Linked DNA regions of Oryzias latipes. The protein of the gene in region 1 binds, or shares a complex with, the protein of each later gene. Links are inferred from orthologs where the notes say so. Each region holds a gene or a part of one and is shown in the gene's direction. Other genes may lie near its edges. The genes, in order: farsb and farsa.

Region 1 (11,741 bases):
CATGTTTGCTAAGCATTATTCAGTAAGAACGTAAGAGGATTGTCGAAACAGACGTCAGAGCAGAAAGATCAGTGTTGTGGTAAACTTTCATTTCTTCCTTATTCTGCTGCCACAGCTGTTTATGAACACATCTAAGAATTGTATGCATTTGAAAATATTGTATTATATTATATTATATATTAAGATAAGTATTTATCTTAAGAGCTCCTTTAATAATACCAAAAGTGTTCTTTTCTCACATTTACCTTGACAGCAAATGGAAACGCAACATTGTTGTCACCAGCTTCTTATTTGTCCTGAAAATAAAATAAAGAAAGATAAGCAGTGGTATATCTAGAAGTCTGCATTATGAAAAAATATTTTTTTTAAAACCACTATATCTCCATGTCACAAAGATTTCACCTAACAAAATGTCAAATAAAAAAAATATGAAAAGAAAATTTCAAAATGACTAATAAAAAGCTTGAAAAATGTTTGGAATCATGGTGGATTAGAGTATCTGGCTCCTGGAAAGTCTAAAACAGAGGGATGACAATACTTTTACCTTTTCTGTGTGAAAGTGCTTTTGGTCACATTTTCTGTAATGGTTATGTAATTATGAACCCTTTGAGCTCCAAATCAGTTGCCATATCTGACCTCAGATTACAACAGGAACGACATGTTTTATGTCTCACCGCAGAGAAAACAAGAATCGATCATCATCCCAAATAAAGCAGAAACCTCACACATTTGTCAGGATCTCATGGGGTTTTATTGAGGCTATAGAAGAACAGAACAGAACTGCACCATGATGTTCCAAAGAGAGTCATGTGCCAGAAAAACTGACAGATTTGTTTTAGTTCAAACTAGAGCTGTGTCACCCTTCCCTCTCTGTCTGCTGTGCATTATTTTATTCCCTCCACTTCATCTTCTTATATAAAGTAGACGGAGTGTGTTTAATTCATTACTTAGTCATACATCTCTATTCTCAAATGATAAAGAGGAGAATATTTTTAGTTTTGCATTTCAGCACTGGAGGGGATCTGCCTTCAGTTCTTCCATGAGGAAAAAGGATGATTCATATACTTCCTCTGTTTTTTGATGAATTCTTCTTTTCGCCTTTTGCGTAATGTTGAGGGCTTTGCCTTTATTATATTTCAGGCATTTAATTTGAAAGGCGTGTTATGGATTTTAACATTTTATCTTTTTGTTGTCTTTCTTTATCTTACTTAGAAATAAAATAAAAATTAAAAAAACAGGAAGAAACAGAAGACTGACAGAAAGCAATGGACCATTTTGCTTTATCTGATTTAATGTAAATATAAATAATAATAAAAGTTTTCTAGCTTTTCGAATAACATCTCCAGTATTTGGGTGGAATGTATATTAGACATAAATGAAAAAAGGAAAATTTAGTTGTTTTGTTTTAATTTCTAATAATTATAACACTATAGGATCAAGAACATCCAAAAGTTGAGGAAAAACAGTGGTGCAGTCAGCCACCAATTGAGCAAGTTCTCCCATTTAAAAATAGGAGAGAGGCCTGTAATTTTCATCATAGGTAATCCTCAACTATGAAAAACAAAATGGGGGGGTCCAGAAAATCACATTGTCTGATTTTTAAAAACTTTATTTGTAAATTATGGTGGAAATTAATTATTTGGTCTCCTATACAGCATGATGTTTTCACCCCCATGCTTTACAGTAGGTATGGTTTTCTTTGGATGCAACTCAGCATTCTTTCTCCTCCAAACACAACAAGTTGAGTTCTTACCAAAAAGTTCTATTTTGGTTTTATCTGATCATAGGACTTTCTCCCAAACCTCTTCTGGATCATCCAACTGCTCTTTAGCAAACTTTAGACGGGCCTGCACATATACTGGATTTAGCAGGGGGACACGTCTGGCGTGGTGTGTTACGTTGGTCCCAGCTCTCTGCAAGTCATTCACTAGATCCCCCCATATGGTTCTGGGATATTTGCTCACCGTTCTTGTGATCATCCTGAACCCATGGGGTGAGATCTTGCAGGGAGCCCCAGATGGAGAGAGATTATCAGTGGTCTTGTATGTCTTCCATTTCCTAATAATTGCTCCCACAGTAGATTTCTTCACACCAAGCTGTTTACCTATTGCAGATTCAGTCTTCCCAGCCTGGTGCAGGTCAATAATTTGGTTTCTGGTGTCCTTAGACAGCTCTTTGGTCTTGGCCATAGTGGAGTTTGAGTGTGTCTGAGGTTGTGGACAGGTGTCTTATAAATTCATAACAAGTTCAAACAGGTGGCATTAATACAGGTAACGAGTGGAGGACAGAGGATCCTCTTTCAGAAGAAGTTACAGGTCTGTGACAGCTAGAAATATTGCTTGTTTATAGGTGACCAAATGCTTAATTTCCACCATAATTTGCAAATAAGTTCATTAAAAATAATACTAAGTGATTTTCTGGATTTCATAGTTGAGGAGCACCCTATGATTAAAAATTACAGGCCTCTCTCATCTTTTTGAGGGGGAAAACTTGCACAATTGATGGCTGACTAAATACTTTTTTCCCCCAATGTAGGTCATATTTTATTGGTATTAAATTTAGAAAGAGAAAGTACAACTGTCATTTTTTCAGTTAGCAGTTAAAATTATTGTCATTCCTGTCAAGTGTGGGATTTGTTTAACGGTCTCACTTTTCCAGTCCGGCAGGTAACAGAGGGCCTGAACTGACTCTCACTATGAGAAAGTTTCAGAGTTTCTGGGAGCAAACCCAATATGTTCACTTGGCATGATTTGCCTCTTGCAGAAAATCTCTTGGCCTGAAAAAGGAAGAGTAGAAAAAAGGGGAATGCACTGTGTGCTTGCATGTTTACCCTGAAGTTTAAGGCGTCTTCATTGCATTTTTGCATCTGGATCAAAGAAAACTGCAAAGGAGCTATGTTGAGGTAATAAGCTCTTCACCTTTAAGATTTAGGAGAAAAATATTACATTTGAAAATATACAGAATGCATTTATTTGCATCTGTCATGTGAAACGTGTTTCTGACGCCAAATATAATGGAACTGTTGTGAACAGGAAACTCTGGCTAATCAAGTTTTTCCTCACTTCTAAGCTTTCTGTTGGCCGTTGTGTTAAAAACAACTTGCATAACTTTTCAGATTAAAAAAAGAGACTGCTTTTGCGTGAAGCATTCTTGTTAAAATCGTCTGAAATCCAAAGTGATCACTTTGAAAAGAGAAATACTAAAAGTTTATGCAGGGAGTGATGTTAGGAACATCAGTGCTTCATCACAGAGAGAACACGATGATTAAAAAAACTGTGGAGGAGCTGTAGATGAAATTATCTTGAATTCAAAGTTTAGAATTAGACTAACATGCAGAGCAGCTGTGAAAGGTGACAGTGGTTTCCACAAAAAACGGAAGCAGTAAAGCCAGAGGAGAAATGACATGATTGATAAATTGTTCTGCAATTTGACAAAGAGAGAAATGAAGGCTGTGATTCTGAGGGAAGGTTTGATGCTCATCCTGTGCTTTTGACATCTGGTGAACCTGCTCTCCCTGGCAAACATCTTTACATGATGTTTATCTCATCAAGTCCAGATTGATCAAAGAGCTGTTATGTGAAGACTTGTGAAGACCAGTCTCATGGCTGTTTCCAGTAGATGATCTGTAAAGAGTGCATGGACTCCAACCTCCTGAGTTTAGTGGGTCAAGTAAAGTCAATATAAATATGATTGAATGTTGTTATTTACCTAAAAAAAACTATGAAGCTCTAAAGCAAATGAGGAATCTGTGAATGATGCTGGAGAACGACCTTGATGTCTCATCTTCCAGTTGGTGCTGTCACAAACGAGGAAGAAGCTTTGCTCAGAGGTGGATGTAGTGACTACGGTCAGCGGGGCTCCTGTTCTTCTGAAACAGATGATTGCAGATCTTCTCCTGAGATCATTACAGTCATGATGGCCTGACAGTAAATCCAGGACTATATTTTTCCTTTTGTTTTGGGATTATTTTGTCTGCATTAAATAATATTGATCAGATCTTGAACAATCTATATTAAAGCAGATTTCCATCATAAACTTTTCACAGGTGAGATTCCCTTTGACAGTTTGGGTGTGGTGTTCTCTAATTAACTGGGCTGAGTTCTACTAGTTCTGCTGGAAAACTAGATCCCTAAATTCAGGAAATGTATCCAAGTCCAAAATGTTTACTGCAACAAGAAAACATGAACAAGACTGAGAAGAAATGCCACAGTGTTACCTGAGCTCCAACAGGTGAGGGCATGTTTCATGACGTCAGACAAAGTGACGGTCCATTGATAGTGAGGTAAGGCTGAGGTCTATGTGGAAATGCTGCTGTTTTTCTTTTTTAATGGCCGTTTTTATAGGAAAAGTTCTGCAGCTTTCATTTTTGAACAATTTAACAAAAAGAACTGAAGTTATAGAGAAGTTGTTTATGTTTCAGATCAATAAACGAGAAAAAGAAGCAAGTTAGTAGCAGGTTTTTGGAGCAAGACTGTTGGTGTATTCTCAAAGTGTAAAAGTTAGAAACAGTCTCAGGACAACATCATTGACTGTATAAGAAACATCCAGTTTCCTGAAAGTATTTTTATTGGTTGAAGATGACGCCATCTGGTGGACCAAGAAAGTACGGAGGACCTCAGGTGACAAGTTTAGGACATATGACTATGAAGGTAATAATGTTCCAAAATGGACAAGCTTGTAGATTTGATGTGAGAACTTTTAAAATAGAATTTAAAAACTTGTGCACCAAAAATCTGCATCTGTGTGTAAAAAATCTCCTGCTGTAAAGTTTGACAAACAAAATGACAGCTGACAAATTCCCATTTGCATGTGTTCATTTAGAGTTAAAACCTCAAATCTGTGATTAACTGCTCAAACTTGCTTCTGCGTGTGCTCGAATCTGCTGGCCCAAATCACAGGTGCGGTACAACTGCGCTCGGACTTCTGACACAGAAGTGCGAGAAACTTGTGTCAAAACCGATCTGTGTCCATAAGTGGACCAAGGGGGTGAGGGAGGGTTGGAGGAGGGGGGAGTCAACCAATCAGAATGCTGGACTCAGAGAACTTGGTAAAGTTAGAAAGATCTTCACAAGTTCGGACTTCCTGCTTCAATAGCGCTATTGATAAATTTTCAAACGTGACAGCAAGTATCTCAATCCTTTTGTATTAACACAGAGAGTGAACTACAAATGCATTTCTAAAGAAAGTAGTGCATTTGTTTTACCCCCAAACGGGATAGACGATGAATATCAGCTGGCTGCTGTGACTTATTCCACTATGGCCCCGTTTTGACTGATCCTGTGCTTCAAGAGTTAATCTGTTCTTTTGTCATATATATATATATATATATATATATATATATATATATATATATATATATATATATATATATATATATATATATATATATATATATATATATATATATATATATATATATATATATATATATATATATATATATAAACTCAGTTCAGTATAGAATGTGTTAAGCTTTTTGTGTGAAAAATCCATTGAAAGAAAGATCTGAAAGAAAAAATAAAATAAAATGCTGACCTCTCCTCCTTGAACCATCTAAAAAAATAATTATTTAGTTGAAAGAATGAGGTTGACCTGCTCGAAATCTGAAGATCAACAAATATAAGTATTTAGTAATTGGCAGATGTATTTTTTCAAAATACATTTTTGGATTTTTAAGTATTTTTAATTACTCTATATCAAATACTTATTTGTTTGTACCTTTTTTTTTTAAATTGTGCAGTCTGCAGGCGTTTAATAGGGCTCCCTTGTTGTTGTTTTTTTTCAGGCACTGCTGTAGACAGCTACGGCCGGCTGCTGGGGTCCTTTTGGTCGAGCCGTGAAAGATTAGCTATAGCCAGCATGCCGACCGTCGGGGTTAAAAGAGATATTCTGTTCAGCGCGCTGGGCAGATCTTACAGTAAGTGATGGCTAATGAAAAAGACGAGATAATGTCTCAATGTGTTATTTGGGTTTTGAAGTGAAAGGTCCAAAAACTTGGAGATCTAGCTGCTTCGTGCAGAGAGAGTCCACTCCTTAGTTAGTCCGTAGCGTCAGTTTTTACTTTTAACTTTTTCTTTCTCACTAGTCTAAGTGACAGGCTAATTCGACATCGCTCTTGCCTGACATTCATCATAGTACACCAGACCTACTAATGTGTGTCATGGAAGCAACGGGGAGCCATCTCTGTTGTCCTGTCAGAAGTTGCATCAGATTCTCCGGCTTCTCTCGTTTTTCTGCTGGAAGAGCGGACCTACGGAAGCCGGAGGGTTCGCGTTAAGCTTATTGATAACCCTGTGACTTCATGTGTTTCAGCCGACGAGGAGTTCGATGAGCTCTGCTTTGAATTTGGACTGGAACTGGACGAAATTGTGAGTAAACTCGAGAAACATGGCTCAGGTTCCACAGATGTAAACCTGCGTCACCGTGAACGGTGTGTTTAATTTAGCTTTGACTTTTCTGCAAACGTGTTTTTGTGACACAAGAGCAGCAAATACTTTAGATTTCTAATATACTGCTTATAAATTAGTTCACATAACAATCGATATATATTATTAGCTTTTCTTTGTCAGATTTCCAAAAACAGTTGAAAATTGTGTTAATATAATTAAAATATGTGTGCAATTAAAAATGTTATGTCATGCCTCCCTGCTTGACACTCAGCATTAAGGGGTTGGCTTGGGGGGTTGAACCACCAATGGTTACCGAGCGTGGCTCGTCTTCAGCTCACTGCTCCCCCAGGGGAAGGTCAAATGCGGAGAACAAATTTCGCACACCTAGGTGTGTGACAGATAGTGGGACTTTATCTTTATAGTGCATTAGCCTTTACATGTCTTTTTGGGACACAATCAGTAAAAAACAAACTAAGTTTGTTCTACATATTTGAGTTTTTTCATAGATTCATTTTTCCTGATCATGTCAATAATTAAAATAAATGTTTGTCTTTCAAATTCAGAATTTGTTATTTTTTGCAGCTGCACCTACAGAAACAGATGAAATAGGATTCTGGGCTCTTAACTGAAACTTATTTTGCTTTACATGAACAAATCCAGTCAAAGGCATCTTTTCAAACATGTAAACATGACGTCTTGCCTTTGTGCTTTAAGGAGTTTCATTCAAGGTCTTTTCACAAAAAGACTGTTGTGAAATCCGTCAAGTTTAAAAACCAGTCTTATTATTTATTTATTCTTTTGAAAAAGGCAAATTCAAACTTTGGTAAGGTTTTCTGAAAGCACAGGAAACCAATGCTACATGAGAGAGCTCAGATTTCACTGCTCTGTGTCATGTGACCAAACCTCTGACAAAGTTCTGTGTGGACAAAGCTGAATTTCATGAAAACTTCTCCTGGACAGACCTCTGAGAAGGAGATAATCAGCAGGGAGCAAGGTGACTCCAAGGCCTCGGGAGCATCAGATGTCATTTTATACAAGATCGATGTGCCTGCAAACCGCTATGACCTGCTATGTCTGGAGGGGCTTGTCCGTGGACTGCAGGTCTTCAAGAACAAGTAAGTCATGTTTTAACAAGAATCCATTGTGCTTCTTTTAAAGAGAAGTCCAGATGGCCTGAAATGTAAGCGGTTTGTCCTCCGTAGAGCTGTAAGGACACACCTACATGTTTATGTTTTAGGCTGGAGGCGCCCCGCTACAGCCGCGTGAGCCCCACCACCGGAGAAGTTCAGAGACTAATCATCACCAAGGAGGTGGGCCTGTATTTTCCTCTTTTCAAATGTTCAAGCGTTTTAGATGCTGATTGGTCCTGTTTGTTGCAGACTGCAGCAGTGAGGCCCCACGCTGTGGCGGCTGTGCTGAGGAACATCACCTTCACCAAGGAGCGCTATGACAGCTTCATAGAGCTCCAGGAGAAGCTGCATCAGAATGTTTGCAGGTCGATAGAAGATCGATACAAACATGATCCCATTGGAAGAACCATTGAAACATTGTTTGTCTGTGCAGGAAAAGGAGCCTGGTGGCCATTGGCACACACGACCTGGACACCATCTCTGGCCCCTTCACCTATACGGCCAAACCCCCAGGAGACATCAGCTTCAAGCCCCTCAACCAGAACAAAGAGTACACCGCAAGTCAGCTCATGAGCCTCTACAAGGTAAGCTGCTGAGCAGATGGAGGAGGTCCTCCAAGCACCTCCACTTTCTTCTCCTTCACTGAATCAGCAACACTGTTTGGTTTTTGTAGACAGACAGCCACCTGAGGCATTATCTTCACATCATTGAAGACAAGCCGGTGTATCCAGTCATCTATGACAGCAACGGCGTGGTCTTGTCAATGCCTCCTATTATTAACGGTGAGCCTAGATTCTGGTTTTGTTTTCTTCTTACAATCTTCAAGAAAATTGAACAAGATGGTCTTTCAGACTCAACTCGAAGACGTCACCTGAATGAATGAGAACCTTTACTGGCTCCTCTAAAACACGAATAAATGCTCAATCTATCTTATAATTTAGAACATCAACCTTTAAGATAACTTCCTGAAAGAAAATGTTCCTTTCTGTCCCAGGAGACCACTCAAAAATCAGCTTAACAACAAAAAACGTCTTCATAGAGTGTACTGCCACAGACCTGACGAAGGTACGGACTGAGGAGGACAATGAGATGTCCTCTGACACCAGAGAGTGACCTGCTGTGTTTTCTGCAGGCCAAGATTGTGTTGGACGTCATGGTGACCATGTTCAGCCAGTACTGTTCACGGCCTTTCACGTAAGCTTCGGCTCCATCGTGTGACAGAAACTCTGCATGCAGCTCAGAGGTTTCCAGCCTCCATAAAGGATCTTCACCTCATACAGGAGTTTGGGTTTCAAGTTTAGTGCCAAATGAAATCATGCAGACTAGCGAAACAGATGATTATGAAGGAGCTTAATGCTTTTTGTTTTAAATAGTTTCTACAATGAGGTTAAATTTGACTCTTTTTGAAATAAGTATTTCCTTTAATTCGACATGTTAAAGATCTGCAGGATGAGGTCTTTGATGGCGACTCTGTTCTGTCTTCTCTCCATCAGGGTGGAGGAGGCTGAGGTGGTGTATCCTGATGGGAAGACCTGCATATACCCTGTAAGTATTGCATCATCTTCTATTGTTTATATTTATTCCTGCTGTCGTTTCTGATCCTTCCTTTCGGGCTTGTTTCCCAGGAGTTGGCTTACAGAAAGGAGAAGTTGACAAGCGAGTTCATCAACCGAAAAGTTGGAATTTCGTAAGTTTTTTGTTTTTTTTTGTTTCTTTTTCTTTTCTGTTTGCTCGTTCTTATTCCTCTTAAATAAGATTTATCTGGAAAAGAAATGCACTAAAGTGAACCTTTCATTATATCTATTAATCTCCAGGATATTGATGGAGTGGGCAAGAAATTCAAAAGTCTAAATATGTTCTTTTAATACTCAAATGAAAACGGTGTTTTGGTGTTTTTAACGTATTCTTGTAGCATTTTTCACACGACGTAGAACATATATAAAGTAAATCAAGATAAAAATTAATTTCCGTGTATTTATTTATTAAAATTGTTGCTCTGTATAAACTGCCTTATAAAACGACACAGATTGTTTTGTTTTTGTTTTTTTTTTGCCTAAAAAACATCATAATCATAATATAAAGACCACTGGGAATGCTTTGAAACTATATCAAAGGATAATTGGTGTGTGTCTTTAACTGTGGACTTTAAAAGTGAATGATTTTCTGCAGTAAAACTAGACAGATCAGATGATGGTGATCCAGACCAGAGAAATGAAAAAGAACATTTAAGAAATGAAAATAGTCTGAAACTGGCTGTTGTTGGTCTTTTCTTGGCCGTTTCTCTGCGCAATCAGTCACAAACTGTTGTTGTCTGCATTTTTTTTTGTCCAGTCTTTCATCGCACAAACCGAAGCAGTGCCCTAATATGTAGTTAAAGTCTTATTACGGTAATTGTATCACATTTGGGTGCGAGAAAGTTGTTCTCCACATCTGGCCCCTCCTCTGGGGAAGCAGTGAGCTGCAAACACATCTGTGCTCAGGAACCATTTGGTGGTCGTCTTGACCACCAAATGCACCAAATCGCCCCGCCTCTCCTCTGCCAATGCTCAATGTTAATGAATTTTGCTACAAATTTTGCAGGGTGGGTGTGAAAATGCAAATGCAATCCCCTCTTTGCATTTTTGTTTTAATTATGACACAGAATAAGCGGATTTCAGTATAAAATGAAAAAGCATTTTTAAGTATTGCTTTTTCTTTTTAATTTTGAGTCATTTCATGCAGCTTCATTTTGAAAAGTAAAAAGCATTTCTATTAATCCATTTTAATTGTCAAATTAGACCTTTCTAAATGAACTATGCTACACATTTACCAGAGAAAATTTTTAAAATGAAATGTCAAATACCATTTTCTTTATCATTTTAATTAAGTGACAGAATAAGCTGTATTAAGGAAGGAAATGAAAAAGCATTTTGGCGGATTGCTTTTTCATTTTTATTCTGGGTCAAAAAATGCAGCTTCATTTTGAAAATGAAAAGCATTTCTGGTTTTGACTTTTCTTTTTATTTATGCTACACAATCGCTTCCATACTACATTGCGCCGCGCAATATAGTTTTTAGTAGTTAGGGTGGTAATTCAGACAGAGACAATGTTTCTTCTTCTACGCCCGTTTCCAGTATTTGAGAGAGTTCTGGCATGTTCAAATGATTTATTCCGACCGGAAGTGTGGCGTACGTAAATATTTGTTTTAATCAGAAACGTTTTTCTGGGAGCATGTACACAGTTCAGTTCTAATCCGATCTTTTAACGGTTAAAAACATTTTTAACTGCAATTAATGCTGAGTGTCGTATAGGAAGGCACTGTGTCCAATTTTTTTTTAGAGTTTTTGGTTTGACTTGACTGGATTTAAACCTGTGACTTTCCAGTCCTGTTGGGACGCTCTACACTAGGCCATTGAGTTGGTATAGGGAACACCTAACATAGAGCTATGTACATGTTGGGTTTTTTGTTGTGTCCACAGAGACGCGCTTAAAGAACAAACTTGTTTTTTTGTTTTTCCAGTGAACCTACAGAAAAGATCGCCCAGCTGCTCACCAGGATGTGTCTGCTTTCTCAGCCCACCGGAGCCGGTGATGAGATTGAGGTAGAGATCCCACCCACTCGTCCGGATGTCATCCATGCTTGTGACATCATGGAGGACGCCGCAATCGCCTACGGGTTCAACAACATCACCCGTACCACGCCACGGACCTACACTGTAGCCAACCAGGTACGCTGCCTGCTTCTCTGAGCGGGCTGGAATATTGTGACCAAATCCAGTTACATGTAACAGAAATGGATCGTTTTCCTCCCCAGTTCCCAATCAATAAACTGACCGAGCTGCTGAGACAAGACCTGGCAGCTGCAGGGTTTACAGAAGCTCTCAACTTTGCCCTGGTGAGGAAAAAGGAAAATCCATTGAAGCATCAGCATTTTCAAATATTTATTTTTTCTAACAACCGAAACATTTTTGTGACCTTCTTGCAGTGCTCTCAGGAAGACATCGCAGACAAACTTGGTAAAAAGATCTCTGACACGAGAGCTGTTCACATCTCCAACCCAAAGACGGCAGAGTTTCAGGTGAAGCACAGTTTAATGAAAAACTACTAACCTTTCTGTGGAGATTCATCAAATAATGAGATGTATGATGTGTCACCAAAAGCCTTTGGGTCAGTGAAGGAGAGACATGGGGCTGCAGAACTCCCACAGCACTTTCTCTTCTTCTTGCAGCTTCATGCATCAAC
Region 2 (10,858 bases), on another chromosome or scaffold:
CAATAAGAAATTAACAGAATAAAACGTAAAGATCAAAATAAAACATCAGTAGACATGATAAAACAGGATAGAAAAACAGCAGACAGTTTAAAGCTTTTGGTGTTTTGATCATTAGTACAACGTTGAGTCAACACGTGTGCACTAGCAGCAAACCGCGAAATATGCTAACATTTATTGCTGTCTTAAGGATTTGCATACCCAACTCTTCCTGTTGGTGGTTTCATTACAAGGTTTTATGAGGATTTTTATCATTAAAGTACTGCAATCAGAGCGAGTCTTCACTTCCGCATTTTAGTCCGGGGAAAAACAAACTGCATCCACTGTTGCCCACTAAAAACACAGAGACCCTACCTAAGCATCCTGATAAATGTTGGCATTTGTGGCACAACTGACACAAATATCACGTCATTTTCTAATAACACGACTTCTTGTGGTACAATATACAAAATAAAATGTCTTGACATCATTTGTTGAAATGCTCCGGTAGAACTCTAAAGTGGCTCATTTCTTCAAAGTCCTATTCAGAAACGGAGCAAACTCTGTTTTTTTTTATTTATTATTTTGATGATTGTAAATGTAAAAACAAAAACTATTCTTTGTCTCCTTGGATTTCTTTCTTCAGAACAGTGAAATCTTATTGGATCACCAGAGGAAGCTCCTTCAGCACCACCCTGACCAAACAGGAGACGGAGCTCACGCCTGAGATGATTGCCACGTAAGCCCAGGGTCCCCCTATGACTTACTAAGCATAATGAGACGCGTCGTGTCCCGTCTGGCCCTCTCTGTCAGCCCGTGACAATGCGGGGCCTCAGACCGGGGACGCAGAGAAACAGCCGCCCAAAAATGGGGAAAGGTCCAAAGATGTGGACTCGGTCCTAAAGGCAGGATGGAACAAACGCATGTCCTACAATGAAGCTTATCCCTTGTGCTGTCTCCCAACGTTACACGTTGGGAGTGGGGTCATCTGGACCCCACAAGACAGTCTGCTGAACCTTTTTTCTTCAATATTTTGTGATTTTCACTGGTTTGAATGAAATCCTCTCCACCTTTATCCATCTTTGTCATGGTAGTTATAACAAGTCAATGTAAGGGTGGGGTCATTTTGACCCCGCAATGCTATAAGACTGATGAGGCTTAAAAAGAAAAGACCCAAAGGGATCTTTCTCTGGGGATTTGTCTAAATTCATGATCCAGATGTTTTCATGTCCCCAAATTTTCTGCTCTCAATCCTCTCACTCGTAGATTAAAGTGTTATCTGGTCCCGTCACTGTTTCAGAGGCAGCTGGAAGGACCGAAAGTTTAAACCCTACAACTTTGAGGCCATGGGCGTGGCTCCAGACTGCGGTCACCTGCACCCGCTGATGAAGGTGCGAACACAGTTCAGGCAGATCTTCCTGGAGATGGGGTGAGCAGCTGGCTGGGAGGGGAATAACAAAAGATCAATAGAAGCCCACGACTCAAACTCTCTTCTGTCCACAGTTTTAGTGAGATGCCCACAAATAACTTCATAGAAAGCTCCTTCTGGAACTTCGACTCCCTCTTCCAGCCGCAGCAGCACCCCGCCCGGGACCAGCACGACACCTTCTTCCTGTCAGGTGATTCTGTGCACCACACGGGCCCCCGCCCTCTCGTTTCTACCAGGTCAGTCACCGTCGTTATCGTTTCTCAGACCCAGCACTTGCCCACGAGTTCCCTCAGGACTACCTGGAGAGGGTGAAGACGGTCCACTCAGAGGGGGGCTACGGGTCTCAAGGGTGAGGCGGCTCCTCGAGTCCGCTCCGTTTCAGCTGCCCAGTCACAGGCGCCTCACGCTTCTGTCGCCTTCCAGGTACAAATATGACTGGAAGATGGAAGAGGCTCAGAAGAACATCCTCCGCACTCACACTACAGCGGTCAGCGCACGCATGCTCTATAAGCTGGCACAGCAGGTATGACCACGGAATCCCATCCGCACGCCGTTTCAGACCCACGAAAAACCTCGCTCCCTTTGAAAGCCATGACAGTTGAAAAGCATGAGTTTGATTTTAAAAAGAAAAGAAAAAAAATAATTCTTCAAATTAAAAGACTTAAATCACTGACTGTTTATAAGAACTGTAGTGACCACTCCCCCCTGGCGTTCCAATCAGGAAGTGGCTCCAAAAAGCCCAAACCCCACAGATGTCTATAGAGAAAAAAACAGCTGTTTTTCAGTCATTCTATAAAAAATCTTTTTTTTTTTCAAATTTGTTTTTGCTTTCAATTTTTCTTTTCATTGAAAATTTTTATTTTTGCTTTCCAAAAACTTTCTCAACTATTTTTATTTTTGCTTTCATCATTTTTTTTTTCTCAATCAACAGGCTGTTTGACGGCAGCTTTGTCACCCTAAACTGAAATGTATGTGAGCAAATTCAAAGATGCTCACATACAAAATCAAAGCGAGATGAGACGCATCGCATGTGAAAACATTTGTTTTGCAGAAGCAAAATTTGAAAAAAAAGTTTTTGAAACCAAAAACAAAAAAATTAAAGCAAAAAAACAGAATGGAAGGCAAAACAATTTTCAATGCAAAAAAGATTTTTGAAGCAGAATTAATAATTTTGAAAGTAAAAATATAAAATATGAAAGCAAATATATAATTTTTTTCATTTAAAGCTTAGAACGTTTTGTGGTGGCGTAAATGTCACTCTAACACTTTTCTTCATAGCATTTTGTTTACTGACTCACCAATGGGAAGGAGGACAAAAATCTGCCGTTGCAGCTCTTCAAATATCAAAAAATGTCCTTGATTTAGTTTCTGGAAATTAGAAACTATGAAAGAATTTCATATTCATGTAAGGAAATCTAAACCTCAAAAGAACAATCCTGTAAAAAAAAAAAAACACAAGCTTCAGAGCTGAAGCTCAGAGGTTCGAACGCGGTGGAAGTTCTAATTAGTTGTATTTGTGACCGCAGCTTTAGCGAGCGCCATGAGAATTATCCAATCACCTTTATTTACAGAGCACGTTTCCCAAACAGTTTCCAAAGTGCTGTACAGTGACTAAAATTAAATAAAAATTATTAAACAAAATAAAAGCAAGTAAAATGCAACAATAAAACGAATACAAATAAGATAAAAACAGAGAGCACCACACAACTAACGCGGCGTTCAAAGCCAGAGAGTAAAAATGTGTTTTAAAACACTCCACAGAGGACGCCGTTCTGACATGAGGAGGCGGAGCGTTCTACAGCTTAGGGTTGACAACACAGAACGCTCTGTCTCCTCTAGTTTCATCGTCGTCATGGGCTCCACAAGCTGGAGCTGACCTCTGACCTCATTAAAAACAAAATATAACAGGAAGCCAGGGCAAGGCCCCAAGAACGGGTCTGGTGTGCTCACAGGTTTTGGTTGCTTTTTAAAGTCGTGCAGCTGAGTTCTGGACTAACTGCAACCGGGGAAGTGGCTTGTGGGAAATCCCACTGTAAGGTGAATTGTAATCCCGCTCTTCCCCAGGAGAAGTTCACTCCCGTCAAGTATTTCTCCATCGATCGGGTCTTCAGGAACGAGACCTTGGACGCCACCCATCTGGCAGAGTTTCACCAGATCGAGGGGGTGGTGGCCGACTACGGCCTGACGCTGGGGGACCTCATGGGCGTCCTGCACCAGTTCTTCACCAAACTAGGTCTGATTCCAAGCATGGAATGGGGGGGGGGGATCACCGGATACGGGTCTGAGACTCGCCAAACTCCGCTTTCTCTTTTCAGGAATCACTAAACTGCGCTTCAAACCTGCATATAATCCGTACACGGAGCCCAGCATGGAGGTGTTCAGCTACCATGAAGGTGAGGGGGGAGGGAGGGTTCTGTCCATTATTGGATTTCAGAAACATTTATTCATCTAGAACTATGGGATCGATTGAATTGCTTTTTCCACACGATTTGTTTAAATTTGCAAACTTTTCTATCTGAAACTTGATTACAAAAAAATGACTTTTGCATAACTTCCTGTTTAAACTGACCCAAAGTAAAACATTCAGCAGTAAAACAGTGAATTCAGGAATTAAACTGCTTCCTTTTCCAAATCATTTAAAGAACCACTCCGATGAAAATAGTGTTTTTTAACATGTTTATTTAAATCATTGACGATCAAGAGCGAATGACAAACTCCGCGCCCCCCTCTGGAATCTGGATCAGAACTGTACAGCTGGATAGCTCTGATAAATCGATACAAATATCGCCAAATCAATTTTATTTATTTTTTCCAACACCTCTGTCTAATTAATTTTTGTTGGTTGGGGGTGTGAGGGGCTGGAAGTTAGTGGGACAGCCTGTACACAAATACTAATGGTCCCGCCCACAAATCAGAGGAAAATTTTAAAGAACTGCTGCTCTGCAGAAACTATGTCCTACAAAACAACTGCTTTTTGGGCTAAAAACAGCATTATCATAATTATAAGGCCACTATGAACGTTTTGAAAATAGATCAATAGAGGATCAACATGAAACTTTAAAAAAGTGTTGAAGAAAACAATTTAATGGATTAAAAAATGTGAAATTATTAAATGGATTTTTATTTAATGCTCACCTCGAAAAAAGAGTGAAACTTTTGTGATTAAAGCTGAATTAAGTTTTTCTTTTGATGCATCAAAAATGCTCCTTGTATTAAAAAAGTTTTCCTACAAAAGAATATTTACTTCGGCATGAAATTGTTCAAAAACGATCAATTTGATTAAATTACAGCTTTATTCTTTGAAAATCACTGAACGTTTTTAATTTTGTGGCATATTTTACCAGTTAAATAGTAAAAAAAAATAATATAATATGAGAGAAGAAATAACTTCCACAGGAAATCTCGCTGGAAAAACAATTAGAGATGAGTTTTCCTTTCGCTGTTCCTGCTTTTCATATTTTTTGTGTAGAAACGTGCTGCCTCTTGGAAAAGAGGGTTCTAATCTCGATGGGACTTTCCTGGTTAAATAAAATAATAAAAGCTTATTTACAGATCTGCATATGTGAAACCAAATGATCTTTTAGCTTAATGTGAACGGAATACCTTTTGTTTTCACTGTAAAGTATGAAAACTCATTGAGATGTGAGGATTCTGAGGAGCAGTTTTCGTTACCGTGGAGACGGCTCCGCTCGCCGTTTTGTGCCCGGAACGAGCTGGTTCTGGCTCCTCCTGCTGCCGTGTCCTGTCCTGCGGCTTTCATCCAAACGGCGCCTCTCTGCACACGCAGGACTGAAGAAGTGGGTGGAGGTGGGAAACTCTGGCGTCTTCAGACCGGAGATGCTGCTGCCCATGGGGCTGCCGGAGGACGTGTCGGTCATCGCTTGGGGCTTGTCTCTGGAGAGGTGAGCCCAGTTTCCCGCTTGGTGGGAACCTTCAGAGCCTGATCCAGAACCCAAGCTTTGTATCCTGAAGAGGATCACTGCAGTCTCTGAGGGTTTAAACTCTTTGTTTACGGCTGCAGGTGGAATAATCATTCAGACTTCATCCAGCCGACTGCAGTTATTATTTTGGACTGCAGGAATCCTCCAGTGAAGCACTCCGGGCCTGACCCGGCGCACAGATTAAAGCAGGAAAGCCTTAAACGGCATTAAACGCTGCAGGGTTACGTTTACTGTCATCCTTCTAGGGAACAGATGCAGCAGAAATGAATGAGTCACTGTCCTCACATCACGAGTGAGCATGAAAGTTAAAAAAATAACAATTTAACACAGAATTTTTTTAGTTTTTTAGTTCATTTCAAACATAAAAACAACAGATAAAGAACTTCAGACTGAGAACAATCGCATTTCTTTCAGACATTCAGTCTTTTTTAGTTTTGGAAGGAAAAAAAAACGACATTTGACAGAAATGAAGAAAAATATGTTTGAAAAGGAGATGAGCAGAAGCTGTGGCTTCTTTAAGCCTCATTCAGACCCATTTAACTGACCGTGTGTGTTTTATACATTAGAATCATCACGAGGCTCAGACTAGAGTAAATTCTCACATTTAACCCTTGTGCTATCTTCTGGGGTCCAGATGACCCCACCCTTACATTGATGTGGATAAAGGTGGAGAGGATTTCATGTAATCCATGGACACCATGGAAGATCATAAATCATTAAAGAACAAAGGTTCAGCGCACTGTCTAGTGGGGTCCAGATGACCCCACTCCCAACGTTAACATTGGGAGTGGGGTCATCTGGACCCCACTAGATAGTCAAGGACTAATCAGTTTTTGTATCACCAGTCCATATGAATTTAAGTCCTTCTGATGTTTTATATTTATCTTTTTTTTTTAATGATAAACAATTTGGGGCCCAGAACTGAACCTTGCGGTGTCCCGCATACATCCTGCATTCTGTCTGGTGCTCTCCAATTTGCACAAAGTGGTTTTGTTTTTCTGCATAGCTTTTTATCCACTGAAGCAGCAATCCTCTGGTTTAAGAGTTGAGCTTTTATGCGCCTTTTAATTGCACGATAAATCAAGTACAAATGTAATTATGCAGGAAGTAAAGGAAATTAGTGAAATTAAAAAAGGAAACCTCAAAAAAAACAAAAAAAAAGTAGCAGTTAAGCTTCTGGTTTTAGGATGTAGAGTAATTTGTATTCTAAATAAGGCAAATCAAAAGAAAGCATAAAAGATCCTTTTTACAAAATAGTGTCACAGGTAAAGAGAATAAAAGTATTTTTTTTGCTCCCACAGAATTGTAGGTTAGGTTTCATGAAAAATAAAGTTTGTGGTTCGTTTGACCTGCTCTGAGCACAGAGGAATGATGGGAAATGAGAGCCTTCCTCTGTTCCAGAACCTCAGCTGTTCTGTGATGCGGGTTTCCTGTGGTTTTTCATTTCGCCCTTCTCCTCTGACCCGCAGACCCACCATGATCAAATACGGCATCAACAACATCCGAGAGCTGGTGGGACACAAGGTCAACTTGCAGATGGTCTACGACAGCCCTATATGCCGGCTGGACTCTTAAGCCCCGCCCACCTGCTGCATCATTTCCACCCCCCCGGACCTGTTTTTCACCTGAGGTGCTCCGTCCTCCAGCTGATGGAGGGTTTGTCCGCAGAAACCCGAAGGCAGCATCTGCCTGAACTTTGTTACAGCCCTCGTCCTGCAGACGATCTCGGATGGAAGGAAATAAAGAAGCTTTTTTTGTAGCTTTAACCTCCGACTTTTCTTTTTTCACTGCAATTGTTTTACGAAAATACTGTTTTAGATTATTGAGGCTAATTCTGGCCTTTTTGGAGGAGTATCCATGACAACAGCAAAGGTCTATGCAAGCTTTTGAAAGCTTAAATCTTGTTCAGATTAAAACCTTCAATGGAAAAAAAACTGTGAAGCTGAGTCATAATTCTGGACTTTATGCTGCAAAAAGAATTTCACACAGAGGATTTTATTTTCCAGTTTACCTTCTGATGGTTCCCAGCTCATTTCTAACTTAAGTTATTTATTAACCGGATATTTGGGACATTTCCTACACCGTTTTCCAATTTTAAAATCTGCCGTTTTGGTGTCTTAAAAAAAGGATGAACTAATTTTTTACAGCAGTTCATGAAAAAAAACCTTCATTTTTTCCTTTTTTTCTGGCAGCTGCTCAGTAAGTCTGTTCAGTCTGCGACGGACAAAGAGGAGATTCCAGGAAGGCGGGATTAAAGCTGACCTTTCTGCTGCCTTTTTCCATTTAGATGTTTGTCTCCAACATCAAAACCGTGAATGAGCTTGTTTGAAAGATTAAATCAATTAATTTAAAGGAGCATTTTCCTCCTCTGCCTGAAGGCATCAAACTCCAGGCCTCATTTGGATCCATGTTTGACACTAAAAAGGGTCTCCTCATGAAGCTCAGATAAATAAAAAACACATGCATGAACTTCTTCACACCTTCTCTTCTGTCATTATTTGGAAATGAACTTGTATCGAGCTCCACACAAAAATAGAAAATAAAATTTTATTTAAAATCCAGGCTAACCCTTGTGCTATCCTAGGCACGTTAACGTTGGGAGTTGGGTCATCTAGACCCACAAGACAGTGCGCTGAACCTTTTTTCTTCAATGATTTGTGAACTTCACTGGTGTCCATGGATTACATGAAATCTTTCCACCTTTATCCACCTTTGTCATAGTAGGGAGAACACGTCAATGCAAGGGTGGGGTCATTTGGACCCCATAGGATAGCACAAGGGTTAAACTAGATTTAAAAGAGAACTTCATTTACAAAAAACAAAAGTTTTATTTTTAAAATCCATTTTTCATTGGTTCAAAAATTAGATTTTAACTTTTTTCTTTTCTTTTTATAATATAAATTATTAAAGCTTTAGTTTTGTGTGGAAAACATTTGTTTAAAAAAATATTGTGTTTAAAAATGTGACCATTTAAAGAACCCAATGGTTTTTAACCCTTTATCAACCCCAGTAAAAATATCAATGTTTACATGTGTGCAGAATATGGACTGTAAACCCCAAGATCAAAATGGGAAACACCTCCGAAGGTGGTAGAGAATGAGAGGGCAAAGATCCTGTGGGACTTCCACATCCAGACTGATAGGATGGTAATGGCGAACCAACCAGACATTGTAGTGCTGGATAAAGAACAGAGGAAAGCCGTTGTGGTGGATGTGGCAGTGCCAAGCGATGGGAACATCAGGAAGAAGGAACATGAGAAACTGGAGAAATACCAGGGACTCAGAGAAGAACTGGAGAAAGCATGGAAAGTGAAGGTGACAGTGGTGCCTGTGGTAATTGGAGCACTCGGGGCAGTAACCCCCAAGCTGGAGGAGTGGCTACAACAGATACCTGGAAAGACTTCAGACCTCTCAGTCCAGAAATGCGCAGTGCTAGGAACAGCTAAGATACTGCAGGACCCTCAAGCTCCCAGGCCTCTGGTAGAGGACCCGAGCTTGGAGGAGAAACCACCCGCAGAGGGTGAGAGGGGCGTTTTTATATATATATATATATATATATATATATATATATATATATATATATATATATATATATATATATATATATATATTGCTTATTGTTTTAGAGTAATAAACACAACAATTTTGGAAAAATATGTTTTAAAATTGTGCTCGACCGTTTTAATCAGGAAGTTGCAGAACTAGAATGACCTTTTAACATTTAATTTTTCTTTTTCAGCAACAGCATCTGTCAGGCGAAGCAGGAAAAGTCGATATAGTAATTTCACTCTTTTAAATGTAAACATAAAAAAACTGCATCTGTTGACGAATTCTACATGAACATTTTTAAGGTTAAAAATCAGCAAAAAAACATGAATTCAATTAGCCTCAAACAGAATGACAAAATACAGTACATATATGGCAACATTTAAATGGAAAAGCAACTTGATGCTTCTGTCATTTTAAACGTCCCCCTCCGATCATCTTAAGATCCATTTTCAAAGCACTCCCATTGTTTTTTAAAATGATAACTATGTTGGTTTTTAGCATCAATCTAAAAATGTCGTTTTCTAGGACATAGTTTCTACAGAGCGGCGGGAGTTCAGTTGAAATTTACCTCTGAGTTCTTCATGGGGAACAGCCCCCTTCCTGTCACCCGTAACTGAGAGCTCTCTGTTTATATGCTCTCCCTATACCGCACAGCCCCTCACACCCTCAAGCTAACATTAGCAGTGCAGCAAAAATGGCGAGCAACATTGGAGCGATCCAGCCGCACAGTTCTGATCCAGATTCTAGCTCGGACGAGGAAAACAAAGACGTTCACGGATCTATTTTTCTGCAGGTGGAGGCATCAGAATGGAGCAGAGAGTTTGTGTCCCGCCCAGCGTATTTTCTACGTCACAAATACGATGTTTTTCAATCCGCTTTTTTACCTTCTGCTCCTGATTCACAACAAATTGTATAAAAAAAATTCTCAGAAAAGCAATTTTTAAAATGAATTTTCTTAACATACATCAGAAAAATGCCCCAAGAATCTGTTAAAAACACCAAAAAACACAATTTTCAGCAGAGTGAGTGAGTAAAAAAAAGTCTAAAATGTATTTTTTGTTTCCAAAAGTGACTGAACTCTTCTTGTGACCTGATGACCCACAGATGAAGTGAAAATAATCTGCCGTCTCCCAGCATCTGAGGTGTTTTTGGAGCAATGACCTGAGCCGAGCGGTGATGAAGGCTGCAGGATTAAGGTGTCTTGTCTTGTGCGTGAGCATGTTGAATAGCAGGAACCACGTTAAGTCTTTCCCTAGATCTAATCCATCTGAAAATAACCTTGGAGAACCGTGTGAGGGGGACGCCTCTGTGGCAGGGCTGGAGCCGCAACGGAAACTCTTTTTTTTTTTTTTTCCCCACAGCTTGAGCTCCAAGTAATAAATTCCTAGAAGTGAAAACAACTTTTGCAGCTAAGTCGTTCCTAATGCAGAGTGACTCCTGACTTTACTACTAATCTCGTCACTTAAATGGATTAGAGTGGCACAACAGGTGGACAATCTCCTAATCGAACAGTGCCAGGGTAAACAAGAGTCATATTTTGTTGAATAAAAACTAGGAAAGAGACGTTTCCTTTTATTAAACCCACAGCAACATAATGTGAAGCAGTCTGGCTCAGCAGATCCGCTATTTCTTTAGTAGTTCTTCTCAGGTTTGACCTTTCTGTGAAACGGAGAGCCTCTTGGAATAATGCGGACAAATCCTGGCAGATGAGTCGCAGCAAAGAGGGAAATCCCAGCTGGGGGGGTCAGAGTCAGAACTCCCTGGGGATGCTGACCTCCTTGCTTATGCCTGGGCTCCCCGACAGCATCTGGGGGTTGTGGTTCCCTTGAGAGTGTGGGAAGAAGGTGGGGATGTAGGGGATGGCGGCCAGCAGCAGCGGGCTGGTCTGAGGGCTCTCGTCTGGAGACAGAGGGATGACCACGTCGTCCTGGTCCCACACGTGGAAGGCGTTGTGGGCGAAGGGG

What was found.
Region 2: the proteins of farsb (region 1) and farsa are in contact, whole or in part, in a crystal structure (PDB 3L4G), measured with the Homo sapiens proteins. The link is inferred for Oryzias latipes from reciprocal best matches to the Homo sapiens genes FARSB and FARSA. Residues at the interface, in NP_005678.3 of Homo sapiens: Glu26, Phe29, Gly32, Leu33, Pro68, Ala69, Asn70, Ile150, Arg152, Asp259, Thr261, Lys262, Arg305, Lys316, Lys317, Val318, Gly319, Ile359, His360, Cys362, Asp363, Glu366, Ala369, Ile370, Tyr374, Asn375, Ile377, Gln378, Met379, Thr380; in NP_004452.1 of Homo sapiens: Ser221, Gly222, His223, Leu224, His225, Leu227, Leu228, Arg231, Ser232, Arg235, Leu239, Gly242, Phe243, Thr244, Glu245, Pro247, Asp249, Asn250, Phe251, Ile252, Glu253, Ser254, Phe263, Gln266, Gln267, Phe277, Phe278, Leu279, Arg280, Asp281.

The regions. Positions count from the first base shown.
Region 1 is NC_019871.2:18,571,882-18,583,622, reverse strand, and holds the start of farsb (phenylalanine--tRNA ligase beta subunit), read left to right. Parts: upstream 1-4,557; 5' UTR 4,558-4,649; intron 4,650-5,785; 5' UTR 5,786-5,859; coding exon 5,860-5,917; intron 5,918-6,312; coding exon 6,313-6,368; intron 6,369-7,349; coding exon 7,350-7,504; intron 7,505-7,626; coding exon 7,627-7,699; intron 7,700-7,768; coding exon 7,769-7,884; intron 7,885-7,952; coding exon 7,953-8,103; intron 8,104-8,192; coding exon 8,193-8,301; intron 8,302-8,513; coding exon 8,514-8,584; intron 8,585-8,651; coding exon 8,652-8,713; intron 8,714-9,012; coding exon 9,013-9,064; intron 9,065-9,144; coding exon 9,145-9,206; intron 9,207-11,019; coding exon 11,020-11,227; intron 11,228-11,313; coding exon 11,314-11,394; intron 11,395-11,484; coding exon 11,485-11,577; intron 11,578-11,741.
Region 2 is NC_019866.2:22,204,292-22,215,149, forward strand, and holds the end of farsa (phenylalanine--tRNA ligase alpha subunit), read left to right. Parts: intron 1-622; coding exon 623-715; intron 716-1,276; coding exon 1,277-1,405; intron 1,406-1,479; coding exon 1,480-1,595; intron 1,596-1,669; coding exon 1,670-1,754; intron 1,755-1,828; coding exon 1,829-1,928; intron 1,929-3,469; coding exon 3,470-3,638; intron 3,639-3,720; coding exon 3,721-3,798; intron 3,799-5,192; coding exon 5,193-5,307; intron 5,308-6,815; coding exon 6,816-6,921; 3' UTR 6,922-7,280; downstream 7,281-10,858.